2 linked regions of the Danio rerio genome follow. The protein of the gene in region 1 purifies or fractionates together with the protein of each later gene. This does not show direct contact. Links are inferred from orthologs where the notes say so. Each region holds a gene or a part of one and is shown in the gene's direction. Other genes may lie near its edges. The genes, in order: eif6 and bccip.

Evidence for each region.
Region 2: the proteins of eif6 (region 1) and bccip purify together in Homo sapiens (affinity purification with mass spectrometry; 3 studies listed by BioGRID and IntAct, counting the BioPlex papers as one, with this or other methods). This does not show direct contact. The link is inferred for Danio rerio from reciprocal best matches to the Homo sapiens genes EIF6 and BCCIP.

Annotation. Positions count from the first base shown.
Region 1 is NC_133181.1:55,069,955-55,081,744, reverse strand, and holds the start of eif6 (eukaryotic translation initiation factor 6), read left to right. Parts: upstream 1-4,339; 5' UTR 4,340-4,763; intron 4,764-5,175; 5' UTR 5,176-5,204; coding exon 5,205-5,311; intron 5,312-5,994; coding exon 5,995-6,080; intron 6,081-6,896; coding exon 6,897-7,072; intron 7,073-10,702; coding exon 10,703-10,879; intron 10,880-11,071; coding exon 11,072-11,253; intron 11,254-11,790. UniProt on the Homo sapiens protein: Binds to the 60S ribosomal subunit and prevents its association with the 40S ribosomal subunit to form the 80S initiation complex in the cytoplasm. Behaves as a stimulatory translation initiation factor downstream insulin/growth factors.
Region 2 is NC_133187.1:47,443,681-47,451,016, reverse strand, and holds the end of bccip (protein BCCIP homolog), read left to right. Parts: intron 1-958; coding exon 959-1,048; intron 1,049-1,356; coding exon 1,357-1,544; exon of another isoform or gene 1,545-1,793; intron 1,794-1,906; exon of another isoform or gene 1,907-2,893; coding exon 2,894-3,062; intron 3,063-6,327; coding exon 6,328-6,498; 3' UTR 6,499-6,617; downstream 6,618-7,336. UniProt on the Homo sapiens protein: During interphase, required for microtubule organizing and anchoring activities. During mitosis, required for the organization and stabilization of the spindle pole.

The DNA of each region.
Region 1 (11,790 bases):
ATGGCGGGATAAATTTTGTGTGTATGCAAAAACCATGTATTGTGTGCAAAATTTGTGCTGTCCGTAATTGTACTTTTGTGCATACAGGTCAATTGAAGACCATAATCTGTTCACCCTGTAAATCTGATATTGGCCACATTTATAACAACAGTGTGAACAGCTATGCAAAAAAAATCTGATGTGAGAAAAAGACAGATTTGAGCACTAAGCCTTGCAGTGTGAATGTAGCCTAAGGCTTTATCTATTAGCCAATTTCCACTGAGTGTTACGTTATTACGATTTGGTATGATTTTATGGCCATTTCTACTGTCAAAAGGTACCAAAAAGCGAACCGTACCATATCACTTTTTGGGTGCTTTTTCCAAAGGGTACCTAGCACAACAAAAGTGTACCAAATGATAGAGCAAGACGTGCAGCTGAATGCTATTGGTTTACACAGAAATGTCACAAGCATGCAACAAGCCAGGAAAATGAAAACAAAGGAAGCAACATTTTTAAATACACAGCCGAGACATTACACCGTACTAATATATACATATGATAATCAGTGGCGTAGAGCAAAATGCAATTGAAATGTTTTTCTTACAAAAACAAATTGATCTGCTTCATAAAACATGTATTAACCCAATAACAACATATGGGATAGTTTTACAATGGATTTATGCACCTTTGAAAGCTATCCAACACCATTATACAGCATGGAAGAGCCAGGATAACATTTACAACTACTCTGACACAGTTTGTCTGACAGAAGAAAGTCATATACACTGTGGAAAAAAGAAAAAACAATTTACTCATAGACTTTGTAAGACTTGTCGTAGCATTTATATACAACAACTGTCTGATGATTTTTTGCTAAATTTATAAATGTAGAGGATGGCTTGAGAGTGAGTAAATTATGGCAAAACTATTGCTTTAAATGCATAAACAACACCAAACCCATTTAAGCAGCATTGAAACTGCAACATCTCCACTTCGCCAGCGTCCCGCACTAAATTTGGCACTCACTCGAAGGGAAATTGTCCAAATGTCTTTTCTCTTCTGCAACATCTTCAGTACCAGTTAGTGCAGGATATCATGAAGCGCATGTCGTCTACCTTTCTGGTGCCCATTTGGCATTGGGGCAGGTCAGGGTGAGGATCCAGTCGGTCCTGGGGATCAGTAGTACCGGGTTCAGTTTGGACACTGGATGAAGATACTTCACCTTGGCTTGGCAGATTTCCTGTATCCCTCTGTCTCTGGTCAAGAGCAGCCATATTGGTGCTATGATTCGAGGCCATTTCTTAAATAAAACACAACAGATTAAATTTAGCTTAAAAAATTAGATACCACTTTAAAATGCTTAATTTTACCAGATTTACTTGTTATAGCTTTGCCTTTGAGTAAAATGTTTGTTTTATTATGTCTGGCAAGATTTTCTCCAATTTTCTAATAATTATATTGTAATTTAGAACAAAAAATAATTGAGCAAAATAGATTTTCTTTTCTTCTGATTGACTTCTATTGACTTCTTAACTTTCCGAAGTTAAACAATTAGTAATGTGTTGCTCAAAAATGAATAACAGGTCTAAAATATACAGTCCTTTTTGTTATTTTGACCAGCTTTAAGTATTTATTTTACACTTTTTATTTACATTTTTATAATTAGCTATGCATTTTAATTCAATAATTAAATAACAATTTATTTGAATTAATGACAATTTAACCTTGGTGTATTATCTAAAAATACCAAACCCCCAAACCAAAACCAAAAAGTACATTTTCCCATAAGGATAAAAGTTTTGAACAGTGAATAGAATACTATCGTTAATACATTGTTGAGCCTCACACCATAATGTAGTGGTGTATGTACAATACTAAAATAAATGTAAAGCAGCCTCCTTGTATTTATTGCAAAAAGTAAACTTTATCAACACCATCTTTTTTTTTTTTTGTTAAAAAATATTTGCTGGATAAAATCTGTGGATATTTATTTCGTTTACTGAGGTAAACTCGGTTTTATATTCGCATATTAAGACTTTGGTGTTTAATAAAATAGTGATGCAGAATGTTAAAAGACTTCAAAACAACATTACTCTATTTAATTAATTGTGAACAATGTTGTACTTTGACACTCAATGGCTGCTAATATTATTTCCCCCTTTAGTATAACGTAACTTTTCTGAAATTATATTAAAGTAAATGTCCAAATATGTAATATGAAACCAACTTTACCTGAACCTTTAATTGAATTTCTAATATGATAACGTTATATCTGTGGTAACAGCCACACTTTCCTCCAGCAGACAGCTATGCATTGAGGACGGAACAAAACCTACAGAAGCAGCAGCACTTAGAGAGCGTTTGTCAGCGTGACTGGGACAAAAACAGATCAATATTGTGTGTTAACGAGCCGAGACACGTCAGGACTTTACCGCACACCGGCTCCAGCCCCCGGAATCCAGCGTTTCACCGATTAGTTCGCGATGTTTCCAGGCAGAAAACGCAGGGTGGACGGCGAGGGTCACGGGCGCGCGCTGCTGCAGTGACGTTTTAGCTAACGCTCTGGAAGTGTCAACAAACGTGACGTCACGCCGAACTTCAATGCCGATTGGCTGAGAAATCCACATTGACAGGAGAGGCGTGTTTTGTTGCTATGCAGGTTTGTGGTTGGGGACAAAAACACGAGTTGTTGCTAGAAGGGATACAGCTGCAGCCGAAAATTAACGACAATTATTTACATAATTAATTAAATTATCCATTAATCGTGTTTTATTAACGTCTACCCCGACCCTCACAGTAATGTAAAACAGTAATTATAACGAGTAATATTTATATTATTTATTAAATTATCCATTAAATTGTGTTTTATTAACGTGTACCCTAAACCCAACCCTCACAGCAATGTCAAAATATTGGTTATTGTCGACAAAAATTATTGTATGCTATATTATATGCTATATTGAGGTGAGTATCCACAGCTGTATACCTTCTAGACTTTGCCCGGTGACAGGGCTGGCCAGTCTGAGTCAGCGTCTGTCTATAAATATATAAATGTGCTAATTTAAATAATAATAATAATAATAATTATTATAATATGTGTTTTTGTTTAATTACTTAATTTTAAAAAGTATTATGCTGTGGAATAGAATATTGTACAGCAAAAGTGACTAAAGGGATTAAGTATTTGTAGGGATTGTAAATATATGTTTTATTCTTTATTTTTGTTTGTTTATGTAGGGTAATTATTATAATTGTATATTTTTTCATCTTAGGTTACACTGTAATTAAAGTTATTGTAAAGCACTATCATTTTAAAAATGCATGTAATTAATAATAATTACTCTAATCGGGTTTATTCATTTCTTTATGTTATTTTTGTTTGCTGCGTAAATTAATAATTTAATATATTGTATTATTAATTATTATTATTTAGTTATAATAAAATTCAAAAACATTTTTAACAAAGATTAGAATATTAAATCATTTAAGATATTTTGGTATTAATTATTAAGTAAAAGGTTTGAGTAACGTTAATATTTATATATTTATCATATATTAACGAGGAACTCTGTCTTTAACATTTAAAACCCAAAACATTATTCTGACGTAATACTTATTTAGTTTTATTAGTTACTATTTATTTATTTTTTTGTTTGCAGATTAATTTAATAATGTGTTGTGTTGAAATATACTATCAGATCATACAATTTTATAATGGTATACTAATATTTTATTTATTCATTCATTTTCCTTCGGTTTAGTCTCTTTAGTCATCAGGGGTCGCCACAGTGGAATGAACCGCCAACTCATCCAGCATATGTTTTACACAGCGGATGCCCTTCCAAATGCATCCCCGGTCTGGGAAACACCTATACACATTCATTCACATTTCACACTCGTACATTATGACCAATTTACGTTAGTTAAAACTTTAAAGTTATTCAATTCACCTGTAACGCATGTCTTTAGACTGTGGGAGAAACGGGAACATCTGGAGGAAACCCACGCCAACACGGCGAGAAAATGCAAACTTCACACAGAAATGCCAACTGACCCAGCAGGGACTCGAACCAGCGACCTTCTTGCTGTGAGGCGACAGTGCTAACCACTGAGCCACCGTATCGCCCAGCAACATTGCTATTATAATAAAAAAACACGTTTGATGGTTTATTATATTTTATAATTATTACAAATAAAAAAAATTATAATACGGATACAAACATTTATTATTTAAAGATCAAGGCTCTAACGTGATACTTGAGAATCAAAACAAAGAAAGTAGTGTTTCCCGTGACAACAGGGGCTCACGTATGACGTACCACAACGCTTTGACGTTGCCACGTTGAGGAAGTGAGGTAAACTAAACACGTGGTAAACGGCTCGTCCACGCTTCTCCATAGTGACATTCGGTAAATATACAATTACTCTTACAATTAAGTTTAATTTTATTGTGTAATGACGTTTAGCTCATAATTTGTATTATTACCCGCGTCGTCATTCGAGGGTAGAGAATTGTTGGCGTTTAATGTCTAGAGAAGTTGAAGTAACTTCATTTAGCCGACTGCTAACCACCTCGACCAGTGGCTATTCAGTGAAAGTTACTTAAAACGCGTTAAACTCTGAAGTTTTGCTGAAAATTAGGTTAGTCTTGCTTCTCTAGACACGACATATTTTAAAATGTTGTCAAACGTTTGACTCAGTTACATAAAAATGTTCCTCTCACTCAATTTATAACGTTACCCGATAAGATGTTAGTGAAGTTTACCCTCTGTTGACTTGAGGTGAGGTTGGTTTTATATTCGCGCATTCATTAAGTGACAACCTTTGACACGCTTATTATATTGTTGACCGTGGTAGTTTGAATATTTAGTCTGAAACAACATGTAAATATGTCTTTAAAACAACATTAGCACTATTTAATTGACGGTGAACAGTGGTGTACTTTGATAATTATTGGCTGCTAATGTGATTTAACTATTTAAAATTAGCAAAGAATACTTAACTGAAATTATATAATCAAGGAGAACGTCCGAATATGTGAACATAAAAAAACAACCTAACCTTAATCTCTGTTGAGCCTAAACAAACTTTCACTTTTCATCAAATAACCGTTATTATTAGTTGTAATAAAGTGTTTCTGTGTTCAAAGTTTTTTTTTAACTATATAGCCCTAAAATATTGTTTTTCCACCAGATTCAGACAGCTTCCTCCAGATCAGCAGAATGGCAGTTCGTGCATCATTTGAAAAGAATAATGAAATTGGATGCTTTGCCAAGCTTACTAACACATACTGTTTGGTAGCAATTGGTGGTTCAGAAAATTTTTACAGGTAAATCTTAAATTGTATTTCTATAAAAAATCTATCTATCTATCTATCTATCTATCTATCTATCTATCTATCTATCTATCTATCTATCTATCTATCTATCTATACAGTTGAAGTCAAAATTATTAGTGCCCCTCTGTTTATTTTTCACACCAATGTCTGTATAACAGAGAGGTTTTTGCAACACATTTCTAATCATAATAGTTTTAATAACTCATTTCTAATAACTGTTTTTATTCTATCTTTGCCATGATAACAGTACATAATATTTGACTAGATATATTTCAAGACACTTCTATACAGCTTAAAGTGACATTTAAAGGCTTAACTAGGTTAATTAAGTTAACTAGGCAGTTTAGGGTAATTAGGCAAGTTATTGTATAACGATGGTTTGTTTTGTAGACTTATGAAAAAAAACAAATGCTTAAAGGGGCTCATAATTTTGACCCTAAAATGTTTTTTAAAAAAATTAAAAGCTGCTTTATTCTAGCTGAAATAAAACAAATAAGACTTTCTCCAGAAGAAAAAATATTATCAGACACACTAACAAATTCCTTGCTCTGTTAAACAATTTGGGAAATTTAAAAAAAGAAAACAAAATTCAAAGGGGGGCGAATAATTCTCAACTGTATATACTGTAGTGATTGAATAATATTGTGATTGTGATTATACCTGTTTGCTTTTAGTGTTTTTGAAGGTGAACTGTCAGAAACGATGCCCGTCATTCATGCCTCTATAGCAGGATGTCGAATCATTGGGAGAATGTGTGTGGGTAAGAACATTTATTTAATCCAGTTTCATTCATTCATTCATTTTCCTTCGGCTTAGTCCCTTTATTCATCACCTAATTTATCAATAAGATGTAATAAAATTTTCCCCTATAATAGTTCTCACCATTCATTCAATCAGTCAAATGTATATGCATATTAGCCATTATTTTATTTGTTAATTTTATTATTCAAGATACAGATCTGAAAAAGCTACTTCTTTCTATTAAAGGGCTGACCTCCCCATACGTTATGTTTTGACTTCCTTCAATGGGGATCAAGTGTTAATTAGGGAGGGGGGTCAACAAAAAAAATCTGCGTATTTATGCGGAGTGATTTTGGGAGTATCATAATTAAAAACTTAATATATGAAAGAGAAATAATACTTTTTAAAAACTTATTTAATGTTTACAGTGCATATTCAAATAGATCTACTTATTTAGTAAACAAAGCAAGTCTCTCATAATATATCCACTAAAAGACAGAACGTATGATTTTACTTACTGTATTGTAAATAAGTCATATGAACATTTTCATATTTATCAATAATATTACTTATAAGTAAATCTAAATGTACACACATTTACACAAGTAAACAAATAGACTCAATGATTAGCTGGAAATCTGTGGGCCTACATATCAGTATATTGTATTTCAGAAACAACCCTATTGCATTTCTTTGAATATGGTTATGATAACAAGAAATCAGTAGTTAATGATGAAACTTTACTGTTTCTATATCTACCTTGGTCACATTAGGTCTTGTTACCTCTTGTTTGATCAATAATAGATGTCGTGTGGTCTATGACGCTCTTCTGCAGGAAACCGTCACGGTCTCTTGGTGCCCAACAACACGACAGATCAGGAGTTACAGCACATCAGAAACTGCCTGCCAGACTCCGTGCGCATCCAGAGAGTAGAGGAGCGTCTTTCTGCACTGGGAAACGTCATCGCTTGTAACGACTATGTTGCTCTCGTTCATCCAGACCTTGACAGAGTAAGAACATCTTCAAACTTTAAAAGGATAGTTCAGCCAGGAATGAAAATTGATCACTATTTACTCTCCCTCAAGTGACTATAAAAATGTATTTCTTATGTCGAACACAAAGGAAGATATTTTGAAGAATGTTGAAAGCCTGTAGCCATTGACTTACATAGTAGGAAAAAATGAATACTATGGAAGTCGATAGTTGCAGGCAGTGCCGGCCCATAGGGTTCAGGGTCACCAGGCGAGATAAAAAAAACAAAAAACAATTTCAATATTTAAGTGTATAGATTTTTATTACTGTAACATTTAACCTATAATACATAAGCAAAAATATTTGCTCAGATTTAAATAAATAAGTTTGTAAGCCTGAAAACACTCATTTATTAGCATTGAGTATATAAGTATGACACATACAAATAAAACATGAATCAAATGCATTTTTTGTAAATGTATTACACAAATATATGCATAAATAACTCGAAATGCTGGAGATGTTTTAGCTTTTCATACAGAGATTTACACAAACAAAACTTTGTATTAGAGACTGGATAAGATTCGATTTTGACAAAATTACGGGAAACCCTGTTTTTTTCAGCAGGCTGAATTAGTGGGACAGATAATTAACTGATTATTTAATAAAACATGCTGAATGTGGCCGATTGGTTGCATTTGTAAAACACGTCCTAATACTGCACTACTAAATTATGTAGTGTGTATAGCAGAACACACAGTTGAATTCAGAATTATTCCACCCCTTTGATTTGTTTATTTTTTTAACATTTCCTAAATTATGTTTAACAGAGCAGGGAAATTTTTACAGTATTTCTTCCCATGATTTTTTCCCCTTTCTTCTGTTTAGACGCCATTTTATTTCAAATGAAAATTTGATTAAGACTTATTAAAAATAGCAACAACACTTGTGACAGTATATTACGTAAGACTTTAAGACACTTTTCAGCTTTATATTGATCGTGAGCAATTTGGAGAGATATGTGGAATCTGTGAAGGAATACGTTACGTCATTCTAGTCCATCCAATAGCTGATCCCAGGCGGTGTTATATAGTGTGGTGCTGCTTGATATTTTTCTAATATTTTCTGCTTATATTATTACTGTTGTTGTGTATTTACAATCATTTTCATTTATTTGTCATGTATGAATTATACAGAGCTATTCTTTTAATGAAATGTGGAGGTTATTTTTTTCCTCACAGTGAATTGTATCGTGTTTAATGGGGTTTGTGCAATGCGCATTATTAATGAATTTTTAAATGCTCATTCTTGCGCTTACGTTCACAGTAAATATAACATAAAAGCAGCACTTGTGGTGCCCTCCAAAAATCGGGGGCCCTAGGCTATACTACACCTATATTGCCTGTTGGATGCCTACTGGTTTAAAAAGACCAAGATTAAATGAAGATGGACAAATGAGAACTATTCTGCCATAAACTATAGTAAAACAACTTGTCAAAAAGAATAAAAAAATAAATAAACCCTGCGAAGAGACATAAAAAAAACTTCTTTTATTATCAGCTGTCAGTCAGCGCCCGCACTGAATTGACCATCAAGATCTGCAGTGTAAATGCAGCTGTAGTCATTGAAAGTCAGGAAAAAAAACAAGAAATTTGTAATTTGGCCTATTTCATATTTTGATTAAACAAGGAAAAAGTTACTTAACTAATTTAACTTAACTAATTAATCAAACTTTTTTGCAATTAAACGCAATAAATCACATTTAAAAGACTGAAACTTGTAATTTTGGCTATTCAAATGTAAAATTAATGTAAACACAAGATAAAAAACGACTTAAATTCAAAATATAATTGTTTATTATAATTTTTGTTTAACTTGTAACCCACATTTCTTCATGTAAACAACAAACTGTTGTAAAAAAATAAATGAATGAGTGAAAAAAGAGAAGAGAACCCAGTCCAGGAGACTCGAAACAAGCAGAATTCCTTTATTGAGACGTGTTGGTTAATCTGCAGTCATACAGCGTCTTTAAGATGTCCGTGTCTGCAAGAGCCTACTAGAGGACCGCAGTCTGCAAGTTCTTTCACAAGTCTGTAAAATAGTCTGAATTAAGACAAAGATTTCATGGCTATATTGTGTTCTTAGGAGGAGGGGATATAGCTAAACAAAGTATGCAAATTAAGAGTTGTGGTCGGCAGGGTAAACTGCTTTTTCAGACCTAATCTCATCTTGTTCTGGAGACAGAAACCGCCTGACCATTTGATCGAAAAGAGAAAACAATAGACACCCCATGCTGTGAAACTGACAATTTGCATTACATTGGCTTAGCCTGTAATCAGAAAGACAAAAGGTTAATGTCCTTAACTGGAATGTTAATGAAATTATATAATTAAAAACCAGAGAATATAACTTTTTAGTTATACGTAGATTATTGTTAATTTGAAATTAGATGATATAAATTTATATTTCCACAAAACCCACAATAAAACATCAAGATCCTGGCTTGACAGCCATATTTATTACAGAAATTAAAACACAGGCATGTTAATGCCATTTGAAATTCAAAACAATCAACACCAATAAAGAAAACCTTGATTTCCATGTTGGATTCTAAGTGGACTATAAAAAAATGCCAAAATACAGGCATTGCAGATATGGAAAATTAAAATAATGATAAAGTATTTAATACAAACAAACAATTGTACTCGTTGAAAAGTTGTATTGCTGATAGTTGAGAACACACACACACACACACACACACACACACACACACACACACATAAACAACACGCGTAGGACAGCACAACCGGATCGACTCTCTTCAGATTCAACATGCATGATCGCATTCATCAAATTTGCTTAAACTAAGCATTCTTAAGTTTGGCTGTATTTTACAAGAATTCTGACACAACAACGTGAAGCAGACGCTTTACAAAGGTTGCGTTTAAGGGGGAAACACGACAGAATGGGCCATCTTTGACAGCTCGCGACATCATCTGAGTTTCACAGAGTACATTTACATGGACACCAAGACTCTGATTTTAATATGATCAAGATAATACTCTTATTAAGAGTCCACCATGTAAACAGCAACTTTTGGTTCCCTTAAAGGACCACAGAGTCACGAAGTGCGGAGGTTTTTCTTTCAGTTCGGCATATGGTATCAAATTCCATTGAAACAAAAGTTGAAAGATTAACAATGAAACATACAAAATTAGATGAAACTCTAGAGGAAACGCTGGATAGCCTGGTGATGCGACATTAATTGTTTTAAACTTTACTTCGAGAAGTGCTTCCTTGGTCTTATCTATATTTCTTTGCATGTTGAACACACGTCCACCACAACAGAAAAAAAACTGAAACTGCGTTAATTGTGTAAAAAATGTTTTAATGTGTTAATTATTTCAAATTAATTACATGCGTTAACGCACTAATATTGACAGCACTGGTTTATATAAATGATTTTAATTTAAATTAAAATAAGCATTTCACATAAGAAAAATAAGTGAGTGTGTAATTATTATATATTAATCGGTCAAAAAACAAAGCACTTTTTTGTTTTTCATTGTCAATAAATGACAAATTAATCGATGCAAATGAACACAGATGGTTTTGTTTAGTTTTTCATAGTTGGTGTATTTATCAGAAATGTATTGGATTGTCCGCAGGAGACAGAAGAGATTCTAGCAGACACTCTGAAGGTGGAGGTGTTCAGACAGACGGTCGCAGAGCAGGTGCTTGTGGGTAGTTATTGTGCTTTCAGTAATCAGGGAGGCCTCGTTCACGCCAAAACATCCATAGAAGATCAGGACGAGCTCTCGTCACTCCTGCAGGTGCCTTTAGTGGTAAGTTGCTGACGCGTCATCACTGACAAGACCGTAAATCATCTTCACATGCTTCTGCACCATTACTATGTGTATATATATATATTTAAATCAAAAGTTTCAACGTGGGCTGAAGTTGTTGTGTTGGAAAGCCTCTCGAATGCTCTCATTAAATGTTCACTGATGAGTGTTAACCGAAGTCTCTGTCTGCAGGCTGGTACAGTGAATCGTGGCAGTGAAGTGATCGCCGCCGGGATGGTGGTGAACGACTGGTGTGCTTTCTGTGGTCTGGACACCACCAGCACTGAGCTCTCAGTCATCGAGAGCGTCTTCAGACTGAGCGAAACACAGCCCAGCGCCATCGCTACTACTATGAGGGACTCGCTCATCGACAGGTACCAGACCACCACTGCAGACAAATACACTAATGGGCCCATCACATTAAACATCAGTGTTTGTGTACAACAAATGAACGTGTTGATTTCACAGATTGCTTCATTCCACACTATGAAAATAAGCCCATCAAATGCATAAACCTGTTGAGATTCTTATGTTGAACACAAAATATGATATTCTAGTCATTGACTTCACAGTATTTTTATTCTGTTTTTTATCATAATATTGAATTCAATAGTACAGGGTTCATACGGTCATGGAAAATAATAGGTTGCCATGAGATTGTGATGGTTTGTAAATAAAATAATAATCTAGCCAAAGTGAAATATTCAGTTTCAGAGAAGCCTATAATAAACTGTTTTCAATATTAATGACAAATTTGAATAAGCAGGAAATGCCTTTTTGCGATGTATTCGCAGCACTGAACATGTTCCCAGATTACCGCGGAAGAACAAACTCTGTTAAAAGGATGAGAGAACTCAGAAGCTCATTGTGAGAATGAAGATGTCTGCATATTTGTGCAGTGTCAAATAAAA
Region 2 (7,336 bases), on another chromosome or scaffold:
AATGATCAAACATATTTATATAAACACAAATAATACATCTTACTAGAGAAAATATGTACTTTGTATATTCACTACATACATTTTTTAACAAGCATGTTCACTATAATGTAGTAAAGGTTTACTATTTGCATCTGTTTTTAAGGCCTGACCAGGGGCGGACTGGGACAAAAATTCAGCCCTGGCACTGTAGCCACATCAGCCCACATTACCACACCAGCATAGCCCCACCCACGGACACGCACATTCACTATTTATTTTGATGTACAGATGGTGAAATAATGACATTCTTGCCATATTTTGATTGCGTCCGGGTAACCTCGGATTGGGTCAGCCCATCTTGAAATCAGGCGGCCGTCATAATTGGTCCAAATGCTTAACATTTATTATTATTATAATTATTAACATCATCATCATAATATCACATCTAGCAAGAGATAAAAGCTGCCTCCACGTAAAAACAATACATTTAAATAAAAACTGAACGACCCACATTTAAAAATTGGTCCAGCCCTTCTGGCATTTGCCAGAATTGCCAGATGGCCAGTCCGCCCCTGGGCCTGACAGTGTTCAAAGTATTCAGGCAAAGAAAATTTAGCATTTGTAACATTTGATTATTGAAATTATGAACCTGAACACTCCCTGAAATCCCTAAAACAGTTTATTTCACTTTTATTTTTACTTTTAATTTATTTTTTGACATTTTTATGGATAATTCACTTCCCTACAGAATCATTTCACATATTCTAAACTAATAAATTATTTCTAAATAGCAGTTTTCAAAACCGCCCAATCTGGCAACACTGAATATTGATGTTGAGCAATATACCGTGCAGCTCTACTGTAAATGTTTAATATATTTAAAACTCATTTGTATAATATTCACTAACAGTAATAATGAACATCTGTAGTTCTGCTCTGATATTGCTGTATTATAGTTTATGTGTGTGTTTTGCTCCAGCAAGCTGAAGTACCGGAGGACAGTGATGATGAGGGCGACCCGGACGAGGTGTTTGGCTTCATCAGTATGGTGAACCTCACCGAGAGACAGGTCAGACAATCATAACACACACACACACACACACTCTACTTTCTGTAGGATTGATCTGAGTTACAACAATCCCACTGGAGTTTTTAGAATATCATATTTTGCATGAGTATTTCGCATTTCACAGTGTAGTGGCTGTTAAAGTCATGCAAAATGATATTCAAGCTAAAACAAAGTTAATATTAAGTTATTTGAACATATTAAAGCATGTGGAATATAAAAGGTCATGCAAATTCAGTTTTTTAATTGGTGAGTATCTTGGAAAATTTGACATTTGGCTTAAAGTGTGATTATTATTGTTTGTTTATCAGGGTGTGGAGTGTCTGGAGAAGCTGAAGGACATGATACTGGATCAGTGTGTGAAGTGCAGCACTCCGGATGTGCAGGAGCGGATGGAGAATCTCCTGCAGGGTAACACTCAGTCTGTAGGGCTCCTGCTGAGCGAGAGATTCGTCAACGTCCCGCCGCAGATCGCTCTGCCCCTGCACAAACAACTGCAGTAAGAGTTCCCAATAGAGGGAGCGCACACACCTGCTTCACTATTACCACATATCAGTGCAGATTTCATTTTAGTTTGATATATTTTATGATTTCAAAAGTGTATATATATATGTATATCTTCTTCTTTGGCCTTAGTCCCGTATGGTTGCGGGGTCGGCTCTTTGGAACAAGTCCATATGATAACGACTTTTTTTTTTTTTTTTACACATTCCGGCCGGCCTGTCACCCTCATACACTACGTAATATGGTATACCACAGGATCTAAAAATCGCAACGGTGTCAGTTTCAATACCTTTACGCCCCATTCACACGGAGCGTCAGTGTCAATGCTTCCTAATCACTTTGAATGGGTGACGTCAGGCGTTGCCGAATTGCATTGTGGATCTGTCGGCGCCACTTCCGAGGTGCTGCTCGCTGCAGAAGTTGGGACTAGCTCAACTTTTCAAGCGCCGACGAAAGCGTCAGCCAATCATATCGCTGTAATCAAATACACCAGCAAAACATTGACCTATTGCTGACTGAATTTCATTGGCTGACGCTGCTATGACGATCGCTTTAGCCCCAGCTTCACAAACGCCTTCAGCCAAGCGTTGACCCTGAAGCCCCGTGTGAATAGGGTGTTATACCGTCATAAAAAAAAACAAAAAACAATGCACTTAAATAGGAGACAAGTATCAAATATTACAATTATTTATTTAATGCCTACAAATGCATATGCATGATTGTCATCACTAGACAATGTGGAGGAGAGAGAGAGGGGAGGTGGCGAGTCGTGTATGTGAGAGCGCAGTGCTGTGCGTTCCCCTCTCTCTCTCTCTGCGTGTGTGTGAGAATGGGATAGAGCATCCTGCGCAGATCTCTAATACGAACAAGACAAACAGGTGACCGCAAACCTAAGGTTGCATATTTGGTATTCAGTTTCTGAATGGTTTAGGCAGAAACCAACAGTCTGATTATGTTGTTTGAGCCTTACGTCATAATTTTTTAAATTATGCACGATAATACCGGATACTGGGGTAAAATAGAGAGCAGGTTTAACGGTATTAAAATTTGGATACCACCCAAGTATATGTAAATGATATGTGTGTCTAATATGTAAATGAATTTTCATGGGATGACCATTACCTGAATACCCAAGCTTTAAAAAAAAAAAATAAGTATGAAATAAGTGAAATATTTTGATGTACATTTGTCATAGTTAGGGTTAGGGGTCACTTTAATCATAAAGTGAACAGCACATTCACTATTTTTTTTCATTTAATTCAGTGTCATTAATTTAATAAAGAAATTATTTTAAGTATATTGTCATAATAATCATCATCATCTGTCTTCTGTGTGGTTCTGCAGGAAGGAAATGGCTGAAGCTCAAAGGACCAATAAACCCAGCGGTAAATGCCAGTTCTGTCTGATGATCAGCAAAACATGCAAGCCATTGAAGAAGAAGAGCATTTCTGCAGGAGACCAGGCTAAAGACGAGCTGCTGTTCGTGAATGACGAGGAGGAGTTCTTTTATGAGGTACATTTTACTAATGTCTGAAGTCAAACCAAACTGAAATTTCTGTCATCCTTTACTCACCCTTCACTTGTTCCAAACCTGTTTTACTTTCTTTACACAAAAGCTGTAACCACTGACTTCCACCGTGATTGTATTTCCATGGAAATCAATGGTTACAGGTTTTCATTTTTCTTTTCTTTTTTTTAAAACAAAAACTGAATAAAGAAACGAATAGTTTTTTTGGTTTAAACTTATTTATATTTAATATGCATATGTCAGTTTTTAAGTCTGAAAAGTGGCTTGAAAGGTTAAGTGGTTAAAGGGTTAGTTCACTCAAAAATGAAAATTATTCAATGTTTAAACCCTTGAGCAGTGGTGCTTAAGCTTGCTCCTGGAGATCTACCTTCCTACTGAGTTCAGCTCCAACTCTGACCAAACACACCTGAACCAATTAATTGACCTGTACAGCACTTGATAATTACAGGCAGGTGTGTTTGATATGGGTTGCAACTGAAATCTGCAGGACAGTAAGGCTGCTTCTGAAACCTCTTCCTCCTCCTCCTCAGTAGGTACTGCATTTGAATTTAAATGTACTACTCGGCCATTAATAAATTGTGTTATATACTGTATTATTGTGAAAAGTATGAATGGAATTCGGATGTACTACATCCGCCTTTTTATCATGGTCACGTGACCTACCTGCGTCAGTTGCGTCGCTTCACTCCCATTCATGAATTCTCTCGCAGGGCATCATGTGATAGCGCGGCGTGCATGGGATGTTCACTTCAGAATCTCGCCGGAAGTAGTAGGTCATCCGGGTCTTTCTTGCATACTAATTTTCGGATTCTTTGCATTCGGACATACCACTCGGCTCGCATACTGATTTTAGCGTATTGTATAGTATGGAAGTATGCGGTTTCGGACACCGCCTAGATCTCCAGGAACAGGGTAAAACAGCAGTCACACTCTAGTTTGAGCTTGCGAAATTCTGTTGTACGGCAATGCGGAAAGGGGCGGGATTAAACAAAATAATTAGAAATTTAAAAAAGTGAGCGATTGGTCCACGTTTTAAATTTCTGTCCAGAGAGATCATGTTTTGATCCTCGATTGGTTTCACGCAGTCAAGTGATCAGCCGATGACACAAAAAGAAAGAAGACGAGATGTATATATTAGGGATGCATGATATGTCACCATAGCGTTATCGGCAAATAAATGCTAGTTTTAAGATTATTGTTATTAAGCTGATATCTAAATTAGGCCGATATCTTTAAACCGATAAATTACGTAATTGTACAGACCTGGCTGCCGCGCACGCGTAGGCGGAACATGTTCAGACTTGCCCAGTGCACTCTAATGGATCTCTCCTCACACTGTTTATTCCTTTAAAGCCCGTCCTTTCTTTATGTGGCATTGCTGAGTGTTAATAACCCAGTAAGTAACCATGTTCCTCATCATTGTAGATGTGTTTGATTGAGTGTCATTGTGTATTTTGCTTTAAATCGCCTCAGGAAAAGATATTACATATGTAAGCCTTTCCTGCTCTGTGTCTTTGTTGTGTTAGAGATATTAGGGGAGATTCACTTATTACTCCAGGGTAACTTAACTCCCTTCTCCTTTAGTTGCAGCCGGTGAATGAACGAGGACACATGTAACTTGTGCCAATCATCACTGAAAACAGTCTCATTGCGAAAAAAAAAAAAAAACGCTCGTTTCTGTCTCCCTCTTCGCTTCAACAACACACACACACACACACACACACACACACACCAAACCCCTGCGCACGTGCTAACCAACAACTTGTCGGGCTGTTTGTAACCTAATATGATTATTTGTTATTATCAATGCAATGCTTGCCATGTGTTGTGGATGTAAGACTGTATTCAGTTTGATCAGATTATTAATACTGATTGTAACGAGCGTGCGTGAGAGTTGTCACCGCACACACACACACACACACACATCTGACAGCCTTCAAAACAGCAGCACGGGGGAGAGCCTAGGTGCGACGTCATTGAATTCAGCATAAACTCGCCACACATTCTCTTTATATTACGCTCTGTTTGTCAAAGTCATCAGAGCTTAATAATCAGGGGCCTCATGTACGAAGACTTGCGTTGAATTCATACTAAAACATTGCGTACGCACAAAGCTGTAAATGTGTGTACGCAGTGAAAAATTCAGATGTATGAAACACTGCGTACGCGGAATCCCACACATATTCTCTTTATACATTTGACTTAACGTGAAACTGAGCACAACATGCATGAGTGCAAAACCCCTCCCTGCCTCTTCCCCTGTATGAATATGGTAATAACTCTACCTTGGCAAAACCCAACGAAAAAGCAATGGTAAAAGCAAGCAATTTACAAAAAATACAAAATTTGCAAATTCATCTTCAAGTGGTGCCTTTATAGCACCGTGCATGCAGTCGATCGCTCCGATTACATTGAAAAAACCAGCGATCGCTGCAAGTTGCACTTTAATGTTTGACTTGTCGACAGCATGGTATGGAAACCTTATATACGTGCTAGACATGCGGATGATCCTGTCCCATACAGCTGGCATTGCGCGGCGCAAAGGAATTTTGTAGTGTGCAATTTAACATAATTGCCTCTAGGAGTCGCCAATTGAAATAAAACGTACGCCAGACATGAAGTCGGCATGGACCAACGCACATACTCGCATTCATTTCATGGTTAGTAAATCCAAATGTGAACGTGAAACCTGGCGTATGCAAAGTTTTTGTATCATACACAAATTGTACTAAAGTGATCTAAAAAGTTCATATCAATAAGTTTTCTCTTTGCACTTTCATTTTGGGGGTGCAGATTGCATAAGTTTTATTAATATATTATTTATTTTATTAATAACTATAACTTTATATAGGTTTAAAAAATTTAGTATTTTCCCAAGTGTAAATAACTTCTACTGTAAGAAAATATCAGAATTCGGTACATTCTGTATTATCTTTGCTTGAACTGAGCCGATTATATGAATTAAACCTGCTTCCGACCAGGATTGAGCCAGCAGAACTGTTGCTATGACAACAACTCAGATCAGTTTTGATGAATGAAACGATCCTGGATCGTGTCAAATCGTCAATATCCAAATCCAGCTAACCGAGGAATCCACCTACGAAGAACGAACCCCAGGTTTCCCCTTATGTTTTGTTGTGCTTGAATGTTAAAGTGGCCCTTCTAAAAATTTTCAGTCAGTGGAATGGCCCCCTGCCAATTTGAGTTTGAGACCCCTCATCTAAACATTTCTTCTTTTTCTTCCCCACAGCAAGCAACGGTGAAGTTCAGCTACTGTGTTCAGGATGAGGCGGACTCGTGTGCGACAGGGAAATGGTCGTACGATGACGAGCCAATGAAGCCGTTTCGCACAGTGATGGTGATCCCCATGGACAGAATGGACACCATCATGCAGAAAATGACTGATTATCTGACCGTCTGAACACACTTTAACCTTCCAGGCCAGTTTGACCACAAATCACCCAAACCAGTGAAATAATTTATTCATTCTGTACATAATCAGCCCACAAAAATAATAATAAACAACCCAAACAGATTGACGATGAGTGTCTCTTCAATTGAAAATATTTACATGATTGTTTCTCCGCTGAGTTTACTGTAAAACACATCGCTCCTGTGCTTCGCTCTCCTGCGTCTCTGTCTTTGGTTCTGGTCGAGTTTTTGCTTTAGGGATACCGGTTCTGTCACGGTCCAGAATATTCTGCAGGATCTCTTTACTTTCACTAGGAGGAAGATTGCAGAAGAAATACTGCGGCGCCATCTGAACAAACCTGCAAAAATATGAGAACACCACTGAGCTTTTCTCAGAATTTCAAGTGCACACACATTTATCTGACATGAATGCATGATCAATAAAGAGACGACATTTTTATATTTTCTCTTTTTAGCCTGGGTGAAAATCAAAAAAGCTCCTGAAAATTATTACGAAGTATTTTTGGTTATTTTTAATTTATCCATGCAACATGAAAATGGGTTTGTGCGTCACAGTTACACTGAAGTGCCCACAATATAATTAAATGTAATGTGATAGATGCTCAGGCCAGTGCTGCCCTGTTCACAAAAGTTCGTCTGCGACTGTGGTAGTTGCGTACAAATACAATCTTATGGCCCCTTACAGTCTCCGATATGTTACCAACTACAGAAAAACTACAAACATCAGACATCTCGTTCTTAATTAGGTTCAAAACAACACAAAGTATAACCTACAGTCAGCGAAAACCTCTCATCTGTGTCTGTAATCTTCAGCAGCACATGAAGCC